Linked DNA regions of Arabidopsis thaliana. The protein of the gene in region 4 interacts with the protein of the main gene of each other region in a pairwise test. Each region holds a gene or a part of one and is shown on either strand. Other genes may lie near its edges. The genes, in order: AT5G56100, TPI, PRA1.E and AT2G25890.

Evidence for each region.
Region 1: the proteins of AT2G25890 (region 4) and AT5G56100 interact in a protein complementation assay, tested with the Arabidopsis thaliana proteins (one large-scale study listed by BioGRID).
Region 2: the proteins of AT2G25890 (region 4) and TPI interact in a protein complementation assay, tested with the Arabidopsis thaliana proteins (one large-scale study listed by BioGRID).
Region 3: the proteins of AT2G25890 (region 4) and PRA1.E interact in a protein complementation assay, tested with the Arabidopsis thaliana proteins (one large-scale study listed by BioGRID).

The regions. Positions count from the first base shown.
Region 1 is NC_003076.8:22,713,923-22,718,771, reverse strand, and holds AT5G56100 (glycine-rich protein / oleosin), read right to left. Parts: upstream 1,856-4,849; 5' UTR 1,652-1,855; coding exon 1,199-1,651; 3' UTR 923-1,198; downstream 1-922. Other genes in the region: COX15 (cytochrome c oxidase 15), read right to left, coding at 2,167-2,343, 2,423-2,554, 2,630-2,740, 2,834-3,079, 3,172-3,397, 3,513-3,811, 3,956-4,138.
Region 2 is NC_003074.8:20,551,108-20,558,182, reverse strand, and holds TPI (triosephosphate isomerase), read right to left. Parts: upstream 4,781-7,075; 5' UTR 4,390-4,780; coding exon 4,351-4,389; intron 4,024-4,350; coding exon 3,948-4,023; intron 3,658-3,947; coding exon 3,534-3,657; intron 3,190-3,533; coding exon 3,105-3,189; intron 3,011-3,104; coding exon 2,878-3,010; intron 2,700-2,877; coding exon 2,605-2,699; intron 2,495-2,604; coding exon 2,416-2,494; intron 2,330-2,415; coding exon 2,247-2,329; intron 2,156-2,246; coding exon 2,105-2,155; 3' UTR 1,623-2,104; downstream 1-1,622. Other genes in the region: PBL1 (PBS1-like 1), read right to left, coding at 1-54; AT3G55430 (O-Glycosyl hydrolases family 17 protein), read left to right, coding at 6,179-6,640.
Region 3 is NC_003070.9:2,806,055-2,810,794, reverse strand, and holds PRA1.E (prenylated RAB acceptor 1.E), read right to left. Parts: upstream 2,036-4,740; 5' UTR 1,863-2,035; coding exon 1,233-1,862; 3' UTR 1,020-1,232; downstream 1-1,019. Other genes in the region: AIP3 (ABI3-interacting protein 3), read left to right, coding at 610-870; AT1G08760 (GPI-anchored adhesin-like protein, putative (DUF936)), read right to left, coding at 2,386-3,253, 3,393-3,484, 3,738-4,037, 4,331-4,740. UniProt on the Arabidopsis thaliana protein: May be involved in both secretory and endocytic intracellular trafficking in the endosomal/prevacuolar compartments.
Region 4 is NC_003071.7:11,034,403-11,039,288, reverse strand, and holds AT2G25890 (Oleosin family protein), read right to left. Parts: upstream 1,987-4,886; 5' UTR 1,930-1,986; coding exon 1,405-1,929; 3' UTR 1,110-1,404; downstream 1-1,109. Other genes in the region: AUR2 (ataurora2), read left to right, coding at 2,279-2,491, 2,937-3,044, 3,135-3,281, 3,378-3,473, 3,555-3,650, 3,743-3,839, 3,928-4,045, 4,141-4,213 and 1 more.

The DNA.
Region 1 (4,849 bases), on a different chromosome or scaffold from region 4:
ATTTACACTTAGATTATATAATTCTTCTGATATTCTCTATGCAAACTCCAACTTTTAAACATTTTGGGGATTGGTAGAACGACTTGGATAACAAACTAGCCTTTGGATTATGAAGTGAAATTGTACTCTTTTTTAATATAATTTGTGATCATATTGAAGTTATGACACGATTTTTTTTAAAAAGTTATGACAACTTTTTTTTCATTTTGTAAGGGAATGTATTCGTGAAGTACCGACAAGTACGGAGAATATTGCGAAAGCGTTCGTGTGCATTAGTGAGACTATGAGAGCATTCGTGAAAAGCACAGAATCTTGTAGAAGTACCTTTTTCGCGTACGAACTTGTACCTTTTGTTCTAAATCACGAAGGACCCTACTTGTGTCATCTTTTGTTGTAAACAAGTAGTGGTAAATCCACATTATTACAAACTTGAATATCGATCAAAATGTAAATATATAGTAATATTTATGGAATAGATATAGTAGTATACTTTTGAATTTGAAAATTAGATGAGAGACACTTATAAAATTCTTAGACTTCTAATTCAAAATCAATTGATAATTAATACATTATACTTTACAGACATATATGTATTTATCTTGTTAACATTGGAAAATTAGTTTCAGTTTCTCTGTAATAGTTATCTAAGGCTTTTTATTTTTTTTTGGCCATAGAAGCTCCTTGCCCCCAGCTTTGTAAATAACCTCTTTCCTTTTGGTAATATAATTCACATTTTATCAAAAAAAAAAAAAAAAAATTGGAAAACTATGTTTTCGATAATATGGATAATAATCCGGATAATGTGGATTTGGATAATTCAAACAATTCAGATAGACATGGTGATTGTACTTCGGATAATCCATCCCCCACAACTTGTGATTAATTTTATCTTTGAAAATTATTATATCAATTAAACTTAACAATCTGTTTTGACCTAAAGAAACTTACAATTTATTTATTCTATTATTTTTGGTTTTCATCTGTTTGCTATTTGTCTTGACTTGGGAAAAAACACAACTTGAAAAAAATGATATAGCATTACTAGATTTTCTTTGGATAGATATTACAAATTTTCACTCTCGAAAAAATCTACTTAATTTTGTTTTCTTATCATAGCCATGTCTCTGTTTTTTTTTGTTTCTTTATTCACCATCTTCTTGAAATTCCCATGAATCATGAGACTTTTTCCAAGTTTGAACTAAGAAGAAGAGTAATCCCGAGAAGAAGGAGAAGAAGTTGAATAACTATCCTCTGATTTGTCTCGCAAGTAACGACTCCGACCGTAACCTAATTCTCTCACCACCGACTCAACCATCCTCCCAGCCAGTCCGGTTTCAATACCAATCTCTCGGCCACAACATACCAAAGCGGCTATTCCCATCATCCACATGGCTGCAGCTACCCCAACACCAACCATAGCCGACACAAGAACCGCTACCGTTACCATAAAAGCTGGAGCAAATATCAGCAGCAATGGAGAAGCGATCAGAAACAGAGTCACCGTCGCCACAAAGCTGAAACTCATCAGACCAAAAAGCGGTCCTACCACTGCAACAGCTGCTACGGTTGCAGCCACAACCGAAGAACCGGTCGTTCTTTCTCCATCGGTTATGGCTATGTCTCTTCTTCTCCTTCCTCCAGGATTCTCCATAGTAGTAGTGTGAAGTTGAACAAAGAATTTTGTACCATGGCTATATAGAAAGGAAGATGGTAGGCTACTGACACGTGGATACCGATAAGCTACAGTATTACGACACGTGGATAGTCTTGTATATCCAAAACGCCAAAAAACTGTCTCGAAACATTATCCACAACCACAAGGCTTACGGATTTGAACCGGACTGAATTAACCGAATCGTATCTAAACTAAAACCGAACTAAAATTTACCACTGAACCAAATTGGTATAAGAAATTATTGACTCTAAAACTAGAATTATCCAATGATTTTCTATTGGCAATGAAACAAACAACACGAAGCTATCAATGAAAGTTATCAGAGTTCTGGGATTCATATGAAACTTTTGTTAATTGTTTTTGTACTTTATTTTTCGAACCATACAACATCATTGACACAAGATTCGATGAAAGCTTGCTAGTAGCATAGTGAGCCAAAGAATTGTTTTTTTAGTAAATAATGAAAAAGGAAAGATTTTGGTGAAGAGGGCTTAGCTGAAATTTGATTTAGCAACTTGTGGAAGAGATTTGAGAAGAGAAGGTGATGGCCTCCGAAGAGTGTGATTGAGAAGTAGCATCAAAGTGAGAAGTGTTAAAGCTCCTGCTTGGTGTGCACTTCCTAGTGAAACCGGAACATAACTCAGAAGCGTTGATACACCTAATGTCACCTGCAAAATACAAAAAGGGAAACCTTATCAATGGTTTTGATTTTAGGTTTCCATTAAAGTTTATGATGATTGATTTTACCTGAACAGCAGTCATTCCAACAGTACTTCCGATCAAAGCTTTAACAGCTGGATGTATGTCTAGCTTCCTTGTGAACCACCACATTGTTCCGATTGCGATTAATGTTGTGGTTGCCAGAAGGCGATGATCAAGCTGAAATTTAAGTAATTTTTCAGTCTTTTTGAGATTCTTGAAGCAAATTGAGAAAGCTTTGTGTCAATGGTGTACCTGAACAGTTGCTGTGTTCTCGAAAAAGTTGCGTAAAAGTGGTTTCATCTCAAATATATTATCTGGGATCCATGTGTCACCCATTTTGGGAAATGTGTTGAATGCACGACCCTAAAATTCACAAACAGAGAGATCAATATACTAAGCTTCCTTTCTGTAACTAATATAATAGAAGCTTAGATCCAACTTTGTTAGTTTACTTACAGCATCATTTCCAGCAACAAATGCTCCTGAAATTGCAGTGATACCAACAATCAAGCTTACTGGTAATGCAAGCTTCTTCACTTTAGCTGCTCCGCGAACCCAAGCCAGTGACTCAGCTGGTGGTTCAGGCATAACAACAGAGAGAGCGGTCCAGAAAAGTCCACAATAAATGGCAAAAGCTGAGGTCAGGTGAGCTGCAAGACGGTATGGGCTTACCCTCGGTTGAGAATACTCAGACGGTGGCTCCTACAAGACCAAACTGATTACTGGTTGGTTACACAATATTCAGCACATAACAACATCTAATAAGAGGATCTACCACACTTCCTAATGCTTACCTCTAAACCACTTTTAACCATCCACCAACCAATGAAACCTTGTCCAGCACCAAGCGCAAATAAACCAGAGAGCTGAACTCCAAGACGTAGAGTAATATACCCTTTACGCAGAAAATAAGAAAACGGCAAAGCAAACATGATTCCCAATCCTCTTCCCCACATTCGATGAGCATACTCCATCCAATATATGAACTTAAAATCTTCAAGGTTCATCCCTTTGTTCACACTACAAAACACCAAATCCCAAAACACAAACAGCATTTTCAAGATCAAGACTTCGTCCAAATACAGAAAACGCAAATGCAAGCAACAGCTTTAGCTACCAAAATCGAAACACTAACCGCTTATATTCAGGTGACTGCTTATATTTCTCAAACTCCTTAGCCCAAGCTTCATCTGACAGAGGAGGGAATTCACCAGTAAATTTCCAATCAGTCATCGATAAACCAGATCGAGTTAATCGGGTTACACCGCCAAGTACAACCATGCTGAAAACCCAAGCAGCCGAACCAAAAAGCCAAATTCCAACCCATTTCTGAGCTTGAGGTCCTCCAGTGACAAGAAGCTTCAAACCCTCTTTACTCTCTGAGCTTATCGACGCTACAGTTGACATCCTCCTAAACATTGAAGCATTTTGACCCTACACAAAACATAATCCTGATCAGAGCCCAATCTCAGGATCCTCTAAAAGTAACCAAAAATCTCAAGTTTAACATAACCCTGATCAAAAGTCTCAACCTTTAACGAAAAAGTATCAACCTTTTTGGGAAATTATTCACACTACCTTGAGCAGAGATCGCAAGCCATAGAAGGAGTTTCCAGCTAAAGGAGAAGACGAAGCAGAGGTTACAGAAGCAGCTGTAATGTTAGAAGTGAAAACTCGATGAGACGAAGTGGTGAATCCTCGAGCAATTCCATTAAACGCTTCTTTGTTCCTCTTCAGAGCCGATCCAACCGCCCGAAACATCTCTATCTCTCTAGGGTTTAAGCAAGGTTTTTGCGTTCAGGCGACAAAAAGTATGGCAAATCAAATCTCATTCTGCAACTTCGACCCGACCCGAATATTTCCGGGTTCGGGTTTTGCTGTGGTGGCTATATGGTAGACACTAACAATGTCCGGGTATAAAAACGACACGATGTGTTGAACGAAAACAGGAAACAACATACATCAATAGCAAAAAAACAATTAATTTTTTTTTTCCTTTAATTTTTTATGATAAAAAAAATAATTTTTTTTTTTTTTATCTGACTTACTTAATGATTTTTGGATGTTCAAACGATCTAAACTTTTATTTTAAAAGTCCGACATAATATGCAAGTACATATCTAAATACCTATCAAATTTTATTTATTATTAAAGGTTTTGTTTTAAGTTTTAACAAAAAAATCATAAAGGGTTTTGAGTTTTCGATTACCATACTAAATCTCCAGAAATTTTGATACCATATGAGTATATGACTACGTGGATCGTCGCACTCAAACTCAACATGACCATGATGTATACGCACTTAATTTAAAGGGTATAGCATTACCATATCTACTATAGATAATTAATAGATGCATTTTGACAAGAATATAAATCTTAGTAAAGTACGGTTAATATTCAAATCTGAAAACAGAACCGCTTCTTTCTTTTATAGGATCGTTTAACGTATGATGAGAGCTACGTAAAATTGGC
Region 2 (7,075 bases), on a different chromosome or scaffold from region 4:
ATGGAGAATTGTAGAGAACGTACTAAGGACACGAGAACTGAGACAAGAACCCATTTAGTAGAATGATGAAGAAGATCGTTTTTTTTTTTTGCACTTTTCTCTGACAATGAATTTCTTCTTATGCTGTTTTTGGGTGGAGCAGATTCTATCAGATAAAACTCATTAAAGCGAAATAATAAAGAGAAAAAAAAAAGAGAAAGAGAAAAAGTAAACACTGAAGAAGAGAGAGGATGAGAGAAGAGAAAGAGAAGATGTGTGTTGATGAGATGGTAGAGGCAACCGAAGGAAGAAGAAAGGTCTTTTTCTTGTCCAAACAAAAAAAAAACGAATTCAGACAAAAGTTATATTTTTGACCAAAAGATAATAAACGAGTTCTAAATAAAATTAGTAATAACAATTTAATGATCAGTGGGACTTTTCTATTGTATGATTTTTAAAACTTTTGAAATTCATAGATTGATTTTGATGATCTTAAGCATCTGAGTAAACGTGCAAAAAGATCACTAATGATATATGTTTAAGATTCAAAATAACGTTTTTAATAGATATGACATCTGAGTCAGATGGTCATGAGATTTTGGAATCTTTAATAGGCCTGAAATAAATTCGCCGTGGTGGGGTTGGATACAAAAAGAAAGAAAAAAAAGGACAAATTTTGTCGAAAATGATAGATATTCATGTGATCATAGATATTTTCGATTTATATGCTTTGGGTGTGGAATGATGAAACAGATTCGGGTTTAGTAATAGTGGTCTCAAAAATGTTTATAAAAGTAGGTAAGAAAATATAAGATTTGTAAGAACTAAGAAAAATATCTACTTAACCAGGAATTAAATTAAAGTTTACAAGTAGGTAAGAAAAATAAGATTTTTCAGGAAAAAATTATGCTTGACTACATACGTATAATGTAATTAAATTTAGTATCATGGGATGGGACATAAGTTTTATAAATACAAGTTTTTAAAACAGAGAAATTTTTTACCAAAACTTGTTTTGAGTCATACGGACCCAAAATTACTCTATTGCTGAAATGATCGATGACTTAGTCAAACCTCCATTTCTAAGGTCACAATTGTTTGCTCGTTACGCAAATAAGTCCAAGGTCAACTATATAATATAATACTCATAAAAATTCAATCCCTACTTTCTTAAATATTACTCAGAAATAAATAAAATATAAGTCACCAGAAATGTGGGTTGACTTGGGAGATAATACGTTATCACATTTGTAGCTGAGTCACATATTGTGGAGTTTTTATTGGCACTAGTTGGATTTTCGTGGTCGGATCAAAATCCATACACATTTTCATCATACTGAGTCCAATTTTTTAATAAATGGTTTGAACAATTCTGACATACGGGAGCTCTTATTTTGGACTTAACCGTCTCTTTTACATTATCACTTTAGTTCCACTGAGCCGTTTTACTCAAATTACATAAGCATTTTGTTTTCTACAAACATTGACATTCCTAATACAATGAGTTTCTCCATGAAATTTCTTTTCCTTTTTTACTCTCTACATAATAATTTCGTAATGTTGGACATTTTTCAAGATGATGACAATAAAGTTGAAAATAATAATGTTCTAAAAGCTAAAATGTCAAAAATGACAGACCAATAGGCAAAAAGCGATAAAAGGGAAAAAATAAAGTCATTTCCCACTTCTCCTGTATTCTCTCGTCATTTATTTAACAAGTAAAGCCATTTTCAAAGTGGTTGACAGCATGATTCAGAGATCAAGCATGACAAAATACCAAAGTCTAAAATGGAACAAACAACATATTATATAACACACAGGTTTATGATCGGACGACATTAGAAATAGGGGTTTGATCAAAAGGCCCGAGGGGTTATGAACTCCAAACACAGATTCTCTGAAGAGTTGAGAAGACTGTAAAAGGAAGGGATTTGCAAATTGCAAGTCCACAGCTAAATAAATGGCGAAGAAAATGATTGTTGCGTTCTCAAAACAATATAGTAAGAGAGAAACTTTTGCCAAATACAACTGAAGCAAAATGTATCATATCATAATACCAACTTATTCATTTTTTCAGAGTTGCGACTGGAAAAGCAAAGGACTTTTAAATTGCTTAATGAGCTCATTAGGCACTTTTCTTCACCTCTGCGGCCTTAATGATGTCGATAAACTCAGGCTGCAAAAAGACCAAGAATGAAAACATTAGTCATGGTTTTGAAAGAGACAAACGAAAGATATCATTACAAGAGAAACCATATTATATGTACCTTTAGAGAAGCACCACCGACCAAGAAACCATCAACATCGGCCTGTCCACCTAGCTCCTTGCAGTTACCACCATTGACGGATCCTGATAATAATTTGCATAATCAAGCTAAGTAACATAGAAAACTATATAGGGGTGTTTAATTAAAGATCGTGTTATCATCTATCTACCTCCATAAATGATGCGGGTTGTAGCAGCGACATCAGCACTCACGTTCTTGGCCAGCCATTTCCTCAGCTCATCGTGTACCTGTTCATAAACGAAACAAGCTCTCGTAAGGAAAACAGCATTGGTTTTCCTATTAAATCATGACCATATGCAACACGTTACAGTGCAACTGCGCATCGAGAACCACTTACTTCTTGAGCTTGGGCTGGGCTAGCGACCTTTCCGGTTCCAATGGCCCACACTGGTTCATAGGCTATGACAACATTTGACCAGTTTGTCACCCGATCTGCCATTACCAACAAAAAGAGTTTTTTAGCCAACAAATATTTCTGTGGGGTTTGAATCACACACTAAGGGAGTATAGTGCGTAGAAACGGGCATCACTATCATCAAAACAGGTCTCACTGTAAACGAGAACGAACTGAGATAGCAAAAAGAGATTAAATGTTTGACAATATACATACCGGCAATAGCCTTGGTCTGGGCAGCCACAACATCCATGGTCGATCCAGCTTCCCGCTCCTCAAGAGTCTCACCAACACAAGCAATCACTTTCAAACCTTGAGCAAGTGCATAGGCAACCTTGTCTCCGACGAACTACAAATGTAGGATAGAGGTCAAAAACCAAAATCATGAATTTAAAAGCTATTTGAGTCTCCAGAAAATTATTTTATCATGTAAAGTCACCAACCTCGCTTGATTCATTAAGGATTGCCCTCCTTTCAGAGTGACCAAGGATAACCCATGGAATATCCAAGTTCACAAGCATCTCCGCACTAAAACACACAAATTACACAATGCATAAGAGCAGGAAATACAGGCACCACAGAATATATCTTTTCTTCCTATGAAAGCATTCCATAGACAGGTAAATCATATTACACCTACTTGTCTAACCAGGCACGAATCCAATCATGGTCTTACTACCAACTACTAGTTGTTTTCTTAATCACTTAGGTTACACAATTCTTATAGGAAAGAAGATAAAGAAGAAGAACAGATGGAAAAATCGATTCGTTTATAAACACAATCATATTCATTTTCAAAACCATAAATATTTACTGCATGAAGCAATAATGGTAAAACAGCTTAAAGTATACACCAATGGTTAGAATCTCACCTCACTTCACCAGTGAAAGCACCTCCTTTCTTAACCCAACAGTTTTGTGCCGCAACAAAAAAGTCAGACCTCAATGTGCTCTTAACCAGGGGAAGAAAAACATATGGAGGGCTAACCACAACCTCTGCATTTAGTAAAATTTCATCAAATTATTAATACAAGAACAAACATACTTATAACTATCAACAAAGATAGAACCATAACAAGTATATGATAAAGAACATTTTAACTAACAACAAACACTAGATCTATCCATGGTTCCTAAGAAGCATAAACACTATAGAACATCGATGTACATTGAAACAGGTTTGTAATTGTATGCCCAAAATATTTGTCACTACTTAAGATTTCATAGACATGGAAATTAAAAAAAAAGCCATAATGTCGTCAAAGCAATTGAGATGCTACACATACCTACAACATCCTGTGAAGGAACCTGAGCTTCATTAAGAGTGTTCACAATCTTCTTCACCTCCTCAGCAGTTCCGTTCTATATAAGATTACAAATTCAAATATTAACATGTTAAAATAGTTTAACCAACAAAATTAACACACGGATCCACCAAAGCTAGAACACGAGATATCAATTGAAGAAAAATTCCTACTCAAAATTTTGACAAAAAAAAACAACTAAGATCCGGCATAGAATCGACAAATCTGAACCATATGCATTACAATTCAAATTCCACCGCTACAAATAATGAAAAAAACCTTAGATCTTAAGATCGGGATTTTCCGATCTCTTTGACTTGATCGGGGAAGGATCAAGTGACAAGACTAATAATAAGGTGCGCAATAGAAGGTAAAGATCACTTACACATTTCCAGTTGCCTCCGACGAAGAACTTTCTGGCCATTATCTCAAATTTTTTTCAGGCGATGATCACGAGAGTCACAGATACGACGACGATGGAGAGAGCTGAAAAGATTAGATCGATAGTGTTCAGTGGCCGTTGTCTCTCGCAGGGGTCACTCATATATATATAAATAAAAATATACTCTCAACATTTTAGATTGGAAAAGACGCATATGTCTAGGGTATATGAGAATATTCCCTGAACGATTAGGAAAGTTGAGGATATTAAAGTAAATTAGGAGGGAGGATGAAATATTATGGACGTGTTGGCCAAGGTTTGGTCGGTGTACCGGGTGGGGTGAATAATAAGAATAGACAACGGCGTGGATAGTGATGCTGTTGTATGGGCTTTAGGCCCATTAAAGCAAGCACATCAATAAAACCCAAGTTTGGTTAAAGGAAAGCCTATTGAGATGATTCTGAAACCAAATTATATTTGTATTCCCTTAAAGATAAATTCTGTATTACGCAATTCTTTCTTTTTTTTTCTTTTTTTTTTTTGGTAAAAGTTTAAATCGTATTATGCAATTCTATATTGTAATGCCCCTTCTTGGATACAAATAGTGTGGAGAAGGAGAAAACTGTTGTAAGTTCTCAAGTTAAACTACTAAACCACCATGAGAGCATTGAGCCGGCTCACTTCAAACATTGTGGCATACTTCAACAAACATATTGTTAGTCTAAAGGGCTATCGAGTGGCATCGATTATTTTATGTGATATCATTAAAAAGTAACAATGGTAATTTGTTATTGCAAAAAATAAGGATGGGATTTAATTAAAAAAATACAAAATTACGTGGTTTGTGTGTGTGTGCAATGAGTGTAACCATGTCATTGAAAATGACAATAAACTGTTAACAATGAGACATGGACGCGGATCTTCTTTTCCCAAAGAAAGCATAACAAATGGCTAAAGCGTGTCGGTAAAAGTTACTTCGAATCAGCTTCCTCAACAACATCTTCATACTTCGAATCTCTTTGACTTTGGTCCGTAGTGTTCAAACTCCAAACTATTCCTCCTACAAACACGTGTCCAATGGGCCAATGGCATTATCCCAAACCGCGTCGATCTCTCTTCTTTTTCTTTTCACTTAATATTTAACCATATACATTTCGTTGATACATCAATATTACTAATCGATTTTTTTTTTAGTTTTAAGTTTAGCAGTAAAAACTCAGATAGTCTCCTTTGACCTCATTAAGAACATCTTTTAATAAACGTATCCAAGAAAAAACAACACTCGATCTCTCTTTTGTTTTCTTAACTTCACTTTAGTTCCTTTTTTTCAAATATAGTTCATCCGTATCTGGATAAAATTAGGATTGTAAAATTACGATTAACAAGAAAGAGGTATATTTTTAGATTAAACTTGGATAGTATGAGTATTTACCAGCCAAAAACCATTAAAGAAAAAGATGACAAATTGATTATCCAAACAAAAGCAGACTCTATAATTAGCCAAATTAATTAACTAAAGTTTCCACGGTCACAACAAAATCCACTTTTTCAATAATTTACAACGGCCTAAATTTAAGCCGACGCACATGAAAAACAAAGACAACACAAACTTCTTCTTTTATTTTGCTTTCCACAAAATCCAGCTGTTCCTCACTAAAAATATACACACGTATACGCTATACAAAACGGTCATATCTATTAATTTTTATTATAAATACTTTCTCGATAAGAATAAAAAAATCTATTCGTCGTAATAATAAAAACACAACTCAAACGATTCACGGGTTTCACTTGGAATCGTTTGGTTTTCTCATTTCCGAAATATAAAAAGATGGCCAAAGCGCCACCGTCAATCTCTCTTCTCCTCCTCCTCTGCGCCGCCGTATTCCTCACCATCCCCGCCGTGATCTCCGCCATCGGTGTTAACTACGGAACTCTCGGAAACCTCCCACCACCGACTCAGGTGGCTAACTTTATCAAGACACAAACTTCGATTGATAGCGTCAAGATCTTCGATGTGAATCCCGATATCCTACGTGCCTTCGCTGGAACTGGTATCTCCGTCGTTGTCACCGTTCCTAACGGTGATATTCCGGCGTTGGCTAACGGAAGACAAGCTCGTCGGTGGGTTTCGGTTAACATTTTGCCGTTTCATCCTCAGACGAAGATTAAGTATATCTCAGTCGGAAATGAGATTCTGCTCACCGGAGATAATAACATGATCAATAATCTCTTACCGGCGATGAGGAATCTTAACAACGCTTTGGTTCGTGCTGGTGTCAGAGATGTTAAGGTCAGCTTTCTCTCTATTTTTCAGATTTTTCTATTTTAAGGAATAAGTAGAATATTTGTTTGGTTTTGGTAAATAAAATTAAAGTTAAGTTTGATGTTCATTATTGTATAAATTTCAGATAAAAAATTTTGAAATCTCAACTTTGAATTTGATATTTGCTAGTGGGAAAGTTTTTTTTTTTTTTGTTTACTTAACTTTTTTACCTAGTTTTAATTTTCTTTAACTAAAAGAAATTGTAATTATTAATAGTGAATTGATGATTGGCGTGAAAAATGCACTGTTTTTTTTTCTTTCCCTTTTTTATATCAGAGATAATGCATTGATTGCGCATATGTATAAAGTTGAAAAACAACGTTGAAAAAAATATGCAAAACAAAAATTGATTATTTTGAAAAATTAGATTCAATCTCTATTTTTTCGTCTGTTATCTAACTT
Region 3 (4,740 bases), on a different chromosome or scaffold from region 4:
GTGATTAGATCCAATCCCGTAATGAATTCACCAAATAATGAATCTACTACACATCGGTTTGCTCTCAGCTAACTGATTAACTCCTTGTTGATGAAATGAAATCAGCACTGCTACAACCCGATACAAAAGCTAATTACAATGATCCTGAGAGTATATGATAAGTGTTGTTGGTCTAGTGTAGGATCATGATTAAGATTATTTGAGATAATTCCTGATTTTATTGATTGTTGTAAATTGTAATTTTACTTCATTCAGATAACCCCACAAGAGAATCTCTATACTCTCATATCTCATTTTACATTCTCTTTAGGTTGTACCAATCTACTGTAACCTGCTTATACCATCCGTGCACTCTTACATATCACTGCTCCCTTAACTTTCTCCTTCGTTGGTGAATATAAGCCTGCTAGGGTATATCAGATCACTGTAATTAGATATTGTAATGGTGTTGATAGTTCAGCATGTGTAGGAAACAAAAAGGGAGATGTGGGACTTTGCAATAATAAGTGGATACTTGTCTTGTTCAATCGTTTCATTAGGGGGATTAAAACAGCATTCTACTGTGTGTTTCTGCATCTAGCTTGATTAAAAAACAATTGATTTATGCAGGAAAAGTGTGAAAATCTAGAGGATGCAGGGAACGAGTTGATCCTTGCTGATGAGGAGATGGTGCGTTTTCAAATAGGAGAAGTGTTTGCTCATGTGCCGAGGGACGACGTAGAAACAAAGATAGAAGAGATGAAAGAAGCGACCTGCAAAAGCCTTGAGAAACTCGAGCAAGAGAAGGAATCAATTGTAACACAAATGGCAGCGCTGAAGAAGGTATTGTATGCTAAGTTCAAAGATTCTATCAATCTTGAAGAAGACTAGTTAGTAGTTATTCCCAACTTTGTTTTTCTTCTATTGCATCAGTTTATGATTCTACTGTGAGTGTAGACCAAAGGATTCTTGAATTTAACATACTGGTTTTGTTCATTATGAAATTTCATCTGGTTAATGCATACTTTTCTTTTTCTATCGGAAATTATGTTTTTGGCAATTCTATAAAATACCATAACACCAATTTGTTTTTTCCCAGAATTTGTATACATTCAAACAAAATGAAACACACACGCCAAAATATAAATACAAGAATCTTTGGGAAATCCAAAATACAAAGCCCTAAATTGATTCCCTTAGCTTCTTCAATCAAAAACCCAAGAAATTACGAGTAATTCTCCAAACCGGTTTACTCAAATTGGGGTATAACTCGACGGTGGCCGGTTACCAGAACCGGCAGACACCAGGCCACCACGGCGAGCACTTTCTTCATCAAGAAACAAATCATCGGTATTACGAAAAGCGCCGTGAGCTCCGACGATGAGCAAACCAATGATCAGCGAAACCAGAACGTTTTCGCCCACATCTGTATATACCAATGCCAAAACCGTTACCAAGCTGAGTAAAACCAGCACGATCTTGTCATCTACTTCTTTCCCCGAAATCACAATCGAATCGTTTGCGTCTCGAGAGAAATAGAGAAGAATCCATCCGATGAAGACGACGATGAAAGCGATCATAGACATCGGATGGTAAATAAGGCCGAGGAAAACAATGGCGAGAACGGCGAGAGCGTAATTTCCACGGAAATAAGAGATGTTGTGCTTTAGATGCGCCATGGCTTCATCATACCCGCGAGGGAGAGAGAGCGCGGACAGATCGAGAATCTCTCGCCATGGACGGAGCGTCGTGATCATCGATTGCGTCGTCTGCTTGGCGCGTGCACTCAACGTCCCGATGATTGTGGTGTTGGAAGTGGAAGAAGGACCGACTCCTCCACCACCAGCGCCGCCATAACCGTACGGCGGAGGTTTCTGATTCATCGGAATTGGTTGATTTTGTGTTTGAAAATAACACAAATCTGTGGTCAAATGGCAAAACCTTGGATTTCAAAGAGTCCATGTGGAATATGGGATGATGGGAGGGACTTGTTCGGTGATTATTATTTTCTTTTGGGACCTTGTAGTTTTTTTATTATTACAAATAAACCATAAACAAATCAACTTTTACCGATCGCCTCTATTTCCACATAATCATGAATCGTCATAGTTTTTGTAAAATTACAGAATTGTGATGGATCTAAGTCTTCTAATGATATTTTTGTTTTTGCTGATCTTCTAATCTTTAATCGCTAGAGAAGAGATATCGTTATTAATGGATAAAAAATATGTTGAAATCTTTCGAACCAATAGGTTCTCTTTAGTGAGTATCTGACTGAATAAAAAATACCAACATTTCACGTCGGTAGGCTTCTTAGTGATGCCTGAATTATACAGAAGAAATTGACCGCCAATTTTCATATATACAAGAAAAAAAAAAAACAAGTAGAAGCTTCTTCATCATCATTTATCTCTTTGCTTTGGTTTCGATTGGTTTAGGTCTAGGAGAAGAGACTGAGCCACCACCACCACCAAGTGCTGCAGCTGCTGACTCCACATGTGTGAGCAGATACTCGTAGATCTTCTTCCGTAATCGATCGATTGTTTCCTTAGAGACTTCTTGTAACCCTTCTTCATCCTCTTTCGATCCAATCTCGTCTAACCAATCATTCACACTCTTCAGCTGAGACAGCATCCCCGCAATCTGCCCATTATCAGACAGACTGAGACTGGATGATGTAATCACGTCAGCGTCTAAGAATCTCTCTACGAAACCCAAAAACCAATCTTGTGAAACCATTTGCAACTTCTCTGCCAGATCAGTTGCCTCGTTTAGACCATTCCCTTTCACCCAGTTTAACGGTGGAGACTCTGACCCTGCTACCGAGGTGGCTTTCTGGCTGCTACTGTTCTCCCTGTGTTTACGGATCATTCCTTGTGCTACGAGTTTAGATCCAATCGTTGGCTTGTTTTGAATATTCCCACGGGTTTTACTAGAGGAATTATTACCCGGGCTCTCGAGTATGATCACGGGTTTGCTCCTGGAGGCAGCAAGTTTGGCTTGTTTGCTGGAGTAGACAGAGAAGGGCGATAAGTTAGTGACTAACGCAGCTTGGACCCATGAGGCTGCCAATTTCTGCTTTTCCGATGCCGCTTTTATAGCTTCCTCGGATCTGTTTTCTTCATTATCTGGGGAGGACATCAAAGAGAGTAATTTGGACAATGACTCTGTTATTACTTGGACGTTTTTCAAACCGGAATGGAGCTTCAAGAACTGCTCAACGACTGGCAATGGATCATCTTCCTTCGCCGTTGACAAAAGATCGGAGTACATACTACAAAAAGGAAAAGCAGAACAAAGTTCAGAAACCACCAAGGCAGTAACAATAACATTCAGATACAAAAAACATTTATGTTTTGTCCCTCAAACATCCAAAGCCGGCCTGAATAAAACTTGGTTAAGATATTACGCACATGAGGCACTGAAGTAAGCTCTCGGAAGCAGAGGCTTCTTGCAGGGCCTCTATTGCGACTACTTGAGCAGCTTCTCTATGCCTCAATACTTCCTGCAAATATTGATAGCAGCAATGACTCAATAAGCTGTCTTAATATTTAATCACGATGTCAAAGACCAAAACATAAGATGCATATGCTATACTAAGAGGTTCTCTTCAATCACCAGAGTAAATATGTTAGTTTGGATGATCGAATTTCTAAACTGCTTGTTTTGAAGATGAATTTTCTTAATCACTAGAAATGCTTCAAAGCCTATTAATGAAGCAAGCACATATAAGGATCCAAGAGCAGTCAAGGCCATACCTGTCCCATCCTCGAAAGAGATGGAGGGAGTGAACTCCATTGGATATTGGCCGCCGCTAATCTTTTACCATTAACAGAGACTTTGACCAAATTCCCAGGCAATCCATTCTCTGCAACAGATTTCTTCTCGACAGATGTAGATTTAGGCCTACTCGTTTTATCTTTGGTGTCCAACACTGCAGTTGGCTCGACTTTCTTGGTTGACTGTATCTTATTGTGCTCCTTCGATGATCTTGCAAATACATTAGCCCTCTCCTGTTTGCTTGGCAACTTCTCACTCGATGTGCTTCTCCGTGGAGCCTAGTAACCAAAAATATACAAGCTATATTCAGAAAATCGAAAACAGTAAACACTAATAACATTGTATGAAGTAACAGACGAATTCAGATGGAAAAACATGAGACTGATAGGAAAACAGACGAAAGTATAATACAAACTTAGATTCAGCAGATAGTAATGAATAGAACAAGTTTAACAATGCTCTCAAACAAGTGGTCTCAGCTTCAAGTCAAGTGCTGATGAATAGGAAATGACACTTTACATGTTTCTTTTGCAAATATAAAGCCAAGAAAGATACAATTGAAAAAGCTTACTGCTAAACTCCGGGAATCAGGGGTTAAATCACGTCTGGGAAGGCTGGATTTTGTTCTATCTGAACCCCTGATATCTAAATTCCCTTCCCAGCTTTTCCTCAACGCCTTAGCTCCAAACTCAATCCCCTGCACAAAATTCTTAATCATGGGAAGCTTTTTCCCAACTTTCGGACTCTCCGCTTTAAGAAGAGACCGGCCCTTCTCTGACAACCCCATTCTAGGAGAACCCTTCTCCAATAACTTTGGCTTCACAGTCTGTTGCTGCTTAATCCCATTAGCAAACTTTGCAAAAGAATTAGGCAGTGAGTAACAACTCGTAGGGGAAGAAGGAATAGACTTAGAACCCGAAGAAGTCTTGAGCTTCCCCAAAGATTCCTTCTTTACATCCAAACTCAAACTCGACTTCGCAG
Region 4 (4,886 bases):
ATATAGACTATATCTAATAAATCCATATAGACTATTGTCTCTGAATATCAATGGATTTGAATCTTTGGCCAAAAAATTAAACAAAGAGACAAATGATGTAGAAGTCACATTACATAGTGGGAGTTAAAATTAACCAGAGTTTGCATTAGGTTGCAATAACGCTTGCATTTACGTCTTGCGGTGCTTACGTTCTGAATCTCTTTGTCGATGAGCTTGAAGATAGTTGATATTGGGATCGAGACTTGGTTGTGAACCACATCATTCCTTTGCTTCCACATATATCCTAACATTTATCTAAACAATCTGGTGCTAGAAGAAAGAGATTATCAAACTGATGCAATGACAAACTACGAAACACCACTCCATAACAAAAAAACTTAACCGTATATCGATCCTCAACTTTAGGAATAATCCTAACGCCGCACCCACCCGGCACCTGGCACCCACCACTTGAAAAATTCATAGCTCATGGCCAGTAGGGAACCGCGGAGGAAACTTACTCAGTCCATTGCGAGGATAAGGACAAAAGTACTCCTTCAATTATTCTAGAAAACCAATCAGACGTTGACAAAGAACCTCGTTTGAAAGTACAACTGCTCTACAAGACTGCATTGCCCACTACAAGCAGTGAATGTTGTCCACCCTCAGCTTCTTTATACGTTCGTGAAGCATGCATGTGCATTTTGTTGGTGCGCGCATAGTAAGCCATGCCATGCAATTCAATGCCAATGGTTTACGAACATATAGACAAGTAAAGTTTTCAATTATTTCATGAGTACCTAAAAACCACATTCATAGAACAGTTTGCAAGTATTCGAAATTTGGGAAAACATGCATACGACCTCACCGCATCTCTCAAAGGCCGAATACAATTTTTGAGGAATGATTAAACAAAGAAATATTTTTACAATCACACTAACTACAATACGTTCATGAAGACAACGTAAATGACACGAGCCATTTAGCGCAGCCTTCGAAATTTATTTAGCGAGTATAGATAAAGTGGTTCAAGCCTTGGTATTGATACACAAAATTCACAAACCTTGCAATTTTCTTTTTGAACATAAAAACAACAATATTATTTCAAATCAAACGGACCACACTCAAAACTACATTTACATATACCAAGAAAGCCACCATATAATTCTAGAAGCCAGACGGTGACCAAGTAATTGGCATTTATTAATTTACTTAATTCGTTATCATCTTTCCTTACACTAGCTATTTCACAATCATAAAACAGAAAATACCGATCAGCAATTAAACACACAAAAAATTGTATGGAAAATAGAAAATAAAATTTTAGATAGATCTTTTCAAAAAGGTAAGAACAGTATTAAAAAAACATACGTAGGATAATCATAAAACTTAATACAACATATAGATCCATATAATTATTAAACTCTAATGAGTAGTTGTTGTGGTTTGGTGTGTTTGTTGTGGCTGCGAGTGCGTATAATGTCCCAACTCTTTGGCTTTCTCCGCTATCCTCATCCTCGCGTAATCCACCTTATCCGCTCCCATCGGGTGTTTTCCGGTAACGTACTTATAAATCCACGTTAACGCCGTAGCTGCTGCCACCCCACAACCACCGGAGAATAGGAATCCCATCGTCAAAAGCCCTATCGTTATCACTGCCGGTACCAACACCGGGCTGAACAGAACCATCAACGGCGTCGCTACGATCAAACCGATCACCGTTCCGGTTAGTGTTAGTCCTGAGAGCACGAGGAGTGATAGGCCGATCGTAGCTGCCGTTACGAATCTCACTATCTGCCGAGTCGATGGTGATGATTCATGGAGACTCCTCATTATTGGTTGTTGTTGTTGCTGATGTTGTTGATGATCCGCCATTTCTTTTTTTCTTTTTCTAAGAGAGTATGGATTTAATGTTCTATGTTGTTTTTGTAGCTTTAATAAGCTTACCATTTGTGATTATTATGAAGAATGAAAATAGACTAGTATGAAGGAGAGGCTAAACTTAAACGAGACATGTGTCGAACGACGAGGCGTGTTAGGCAATGGAGAAGAGTGTCACGCGGGCGTGTCAGTTCTGCATGGAGCTACTTTGACGAGGTACTGACACGTGGTTACTTAGTTCCGAATTAAAATCTCATCGTCAAACGATCTTGAAGCTTATTGGGCTATTATCTGGGCTTGTAGTGACTGTATATTATCCTAGTGATTATGAAGTTGGAATACCGTGGGCTTAATAATATCTGGGCCTGTAGCGACTGTATCATCTCGGGAGACAAATTATTTGAAAATAAAAACCTCGATGCAGATGTATCAACACGTGGCAGCATCTGGATTCGACCGTTGCTGCTTTGCTGGTGGTTTACGTTTTTTCCCCTTTTTAAATTTCTCAATTTGGATCTGTTCCCTTTGTGAAAATTACTCTCTCTTCTCTCTTTCTTTCTTCTCTTTCTCTCGCTATCTTGGCTCATCAACGATCTCTTCCATGGGGATTTCTACAGAGACGCAGCAAATTGTAAGAAAATAACTTGTTCTTGGTTTCACAAATTCCAATTTCATTTGGTTCTTTTGTCGAATTTGTTTCAATTTAGGGTTTTACTTCCTTGTTGGTTTGCGTTTTTTCTCTGCGTTTGGTCTGTTCTAATGGAATGTGATCTGGGATTATCGATTTGGTTGCTTGATTTTCTTTGCGCCAGAAAGAATCTTGTTTCAATGTTCTCTGTTTAATTTGAGAAAGACTTGTTGGTATGATTTTGAGAAATTTCATGATATGATTGTGGATTTATTCGTTTACAGCGAGGACCCTAGATTAATTGACAAATCCGTGGATTAGTGTTAAGGAGCTGTTGATTTTATCCTTTTATCTTCAAGTTTTAAAGTATCAATGATTGTTTGTCGTTTATGATTAAGTGTATCTGAGAGTTGATTGGATTTCAATCTTTGTGATAATGTTGTATCAGGCGGCTTCAGAGGCTGCACAAAAGAGATGGACTACAAGCGATTTCGATATCGGAAAGCCACTTGGTAGAGGAAAGTTTGGCCATGTTTATCTAGCAAGAGAGAAACGGGTTAGTGTTTCTTCACAATTATGTTAAACAAGCAGAATTAATTTGATGTCTTTTTTAACCAAGCTGTCTTCTATGTGTCTTTGCAAACAGAGCGATCACATTGTGGCTTTAAAGGTTCTTTTTAAGGCTCAGCTTCAACAATCTCAAGTTGAACACCAGTTACGAAGGGAAGTAGAGATTCAATCTCATCTTCGGCATCCCAATATTCTGCGGCTCTACGGTTACTTCTATGATCAGGTTTTGTGTTATCTGTGCTTGTAAAAGAACTTCTTGTTGACATACAATGTTTGGCTCTGTGAGGTTAACATAGTTTTTGGGATACCGTTGTTGCAGAAAAGAGTTTATTTGATTTTGGAGTATGCTGTAAGGGGTGAGCTTTATAAAGAGCTTCAGAAGTGCAAGTACTTCAGCGAACGTCGAGCAGCAACTGTAAGTCCTAGTGATAATTGAACTTATTCTAGCATGTTAATGTGAATCTGTGTAGTCATACCCTTACGTTTATTGTGGCAGTATGTTGCGTCATTGGCTAGAGCCCTCATCTATTGCCATGGAAAGCATGTAATTCACAGAGATATAAAACCTGAAAATCTGTTGATTGGTGCTCAGGTAACAAATTGAATCTGGTTATCTTTCTCCATCAACGCCATGTGATTGCAGTTAGCTTATGTGTTTATGTATTCATGGATATATGTTTTCAGGGTGAGCTCAAGATTGCAGATTTTGGATGGTCAGTACACACATTCAACCGTAGAAGGACTATGTGTGGCACTTTGGATTACCTTCCACCTGAGATGGGTAAGAGAAAGCTCTCTCTCTCTTGTGTGATTCTAAATTACTTTCTTCGGCAACCAGCTAATTGACTTTTCTGCTTTTGGATTCACAGTGGAAAGCGTTGAACATGATGCGAGTGTCGATATATGGAGTCTAGGAATTCTCTGCTACGAATTTCTTTATGGTGTTCCTCCTTTTGAGGCCAGGGAGCATTCAGAGACATACAAAAGGTAACATGTTCATTAAGCGTAGAATGGGATTAGTATATGATGTTTGGTCAGTGGAATGTACATTAAAGAAGGGTTTTGTTCGACAAATGATACAGGATTGTTCAAGTGGATCTCAAGTTCCCTCCCAAACCCATTGTGTCATCATCTGCAAAGGACCTGATTAGCCAGGTTTCTACTCGCATTCCTCGTAAATCTCTCTAAGTGTTTGTGCATTTGAAGAGTGAATTCTGATTTTCACACTTTCTGATCAAACAGATGTTGGTTAAGGAGTCTACGCAACGTTTGGCCTTGCACAAGCTTCTTGAACACCCGTGGATTGTGCAAAACGCAGACCCATCAGGCCTTTACAGAGGATGAAGCGATGAAGCTAGGAAAAGATTTAAGATTGCATTCTTGGCACTTTGCACCACTTACTGCAAAAAGTCTGACCATTTCATAGTTCTATATATGTAATTGCTGTGTTCCAAAAGTATTTGTACTACATTTTTCTACGAAGTTTATATAGCCACAAGATTCGTGTAACTTTACTCCAATTATTTTCGAATCCTACATCACTTTTTAAATAAAAATTGTTCGGAATGGTTTCAAACTTACAACAGCTTTTGTTCATCGGTAACTTATTCACCAATTGATTGGTTAACGTTAACTGATGTTACTGCAGGTAACCAAATGAGATGGATTTGTTCACAAGAGATCCGGAACATTTTTTATGTTGTAAGATGCAAAGGTGCAAAGGCAAACGAATGAAAGATTAACCGAACATGAACAAAACAACAAGAGACGCACTCTGCAATCAATCATTTTCCTTCAAAAGGTGGGTGAATGAGACAAGAATGACCAA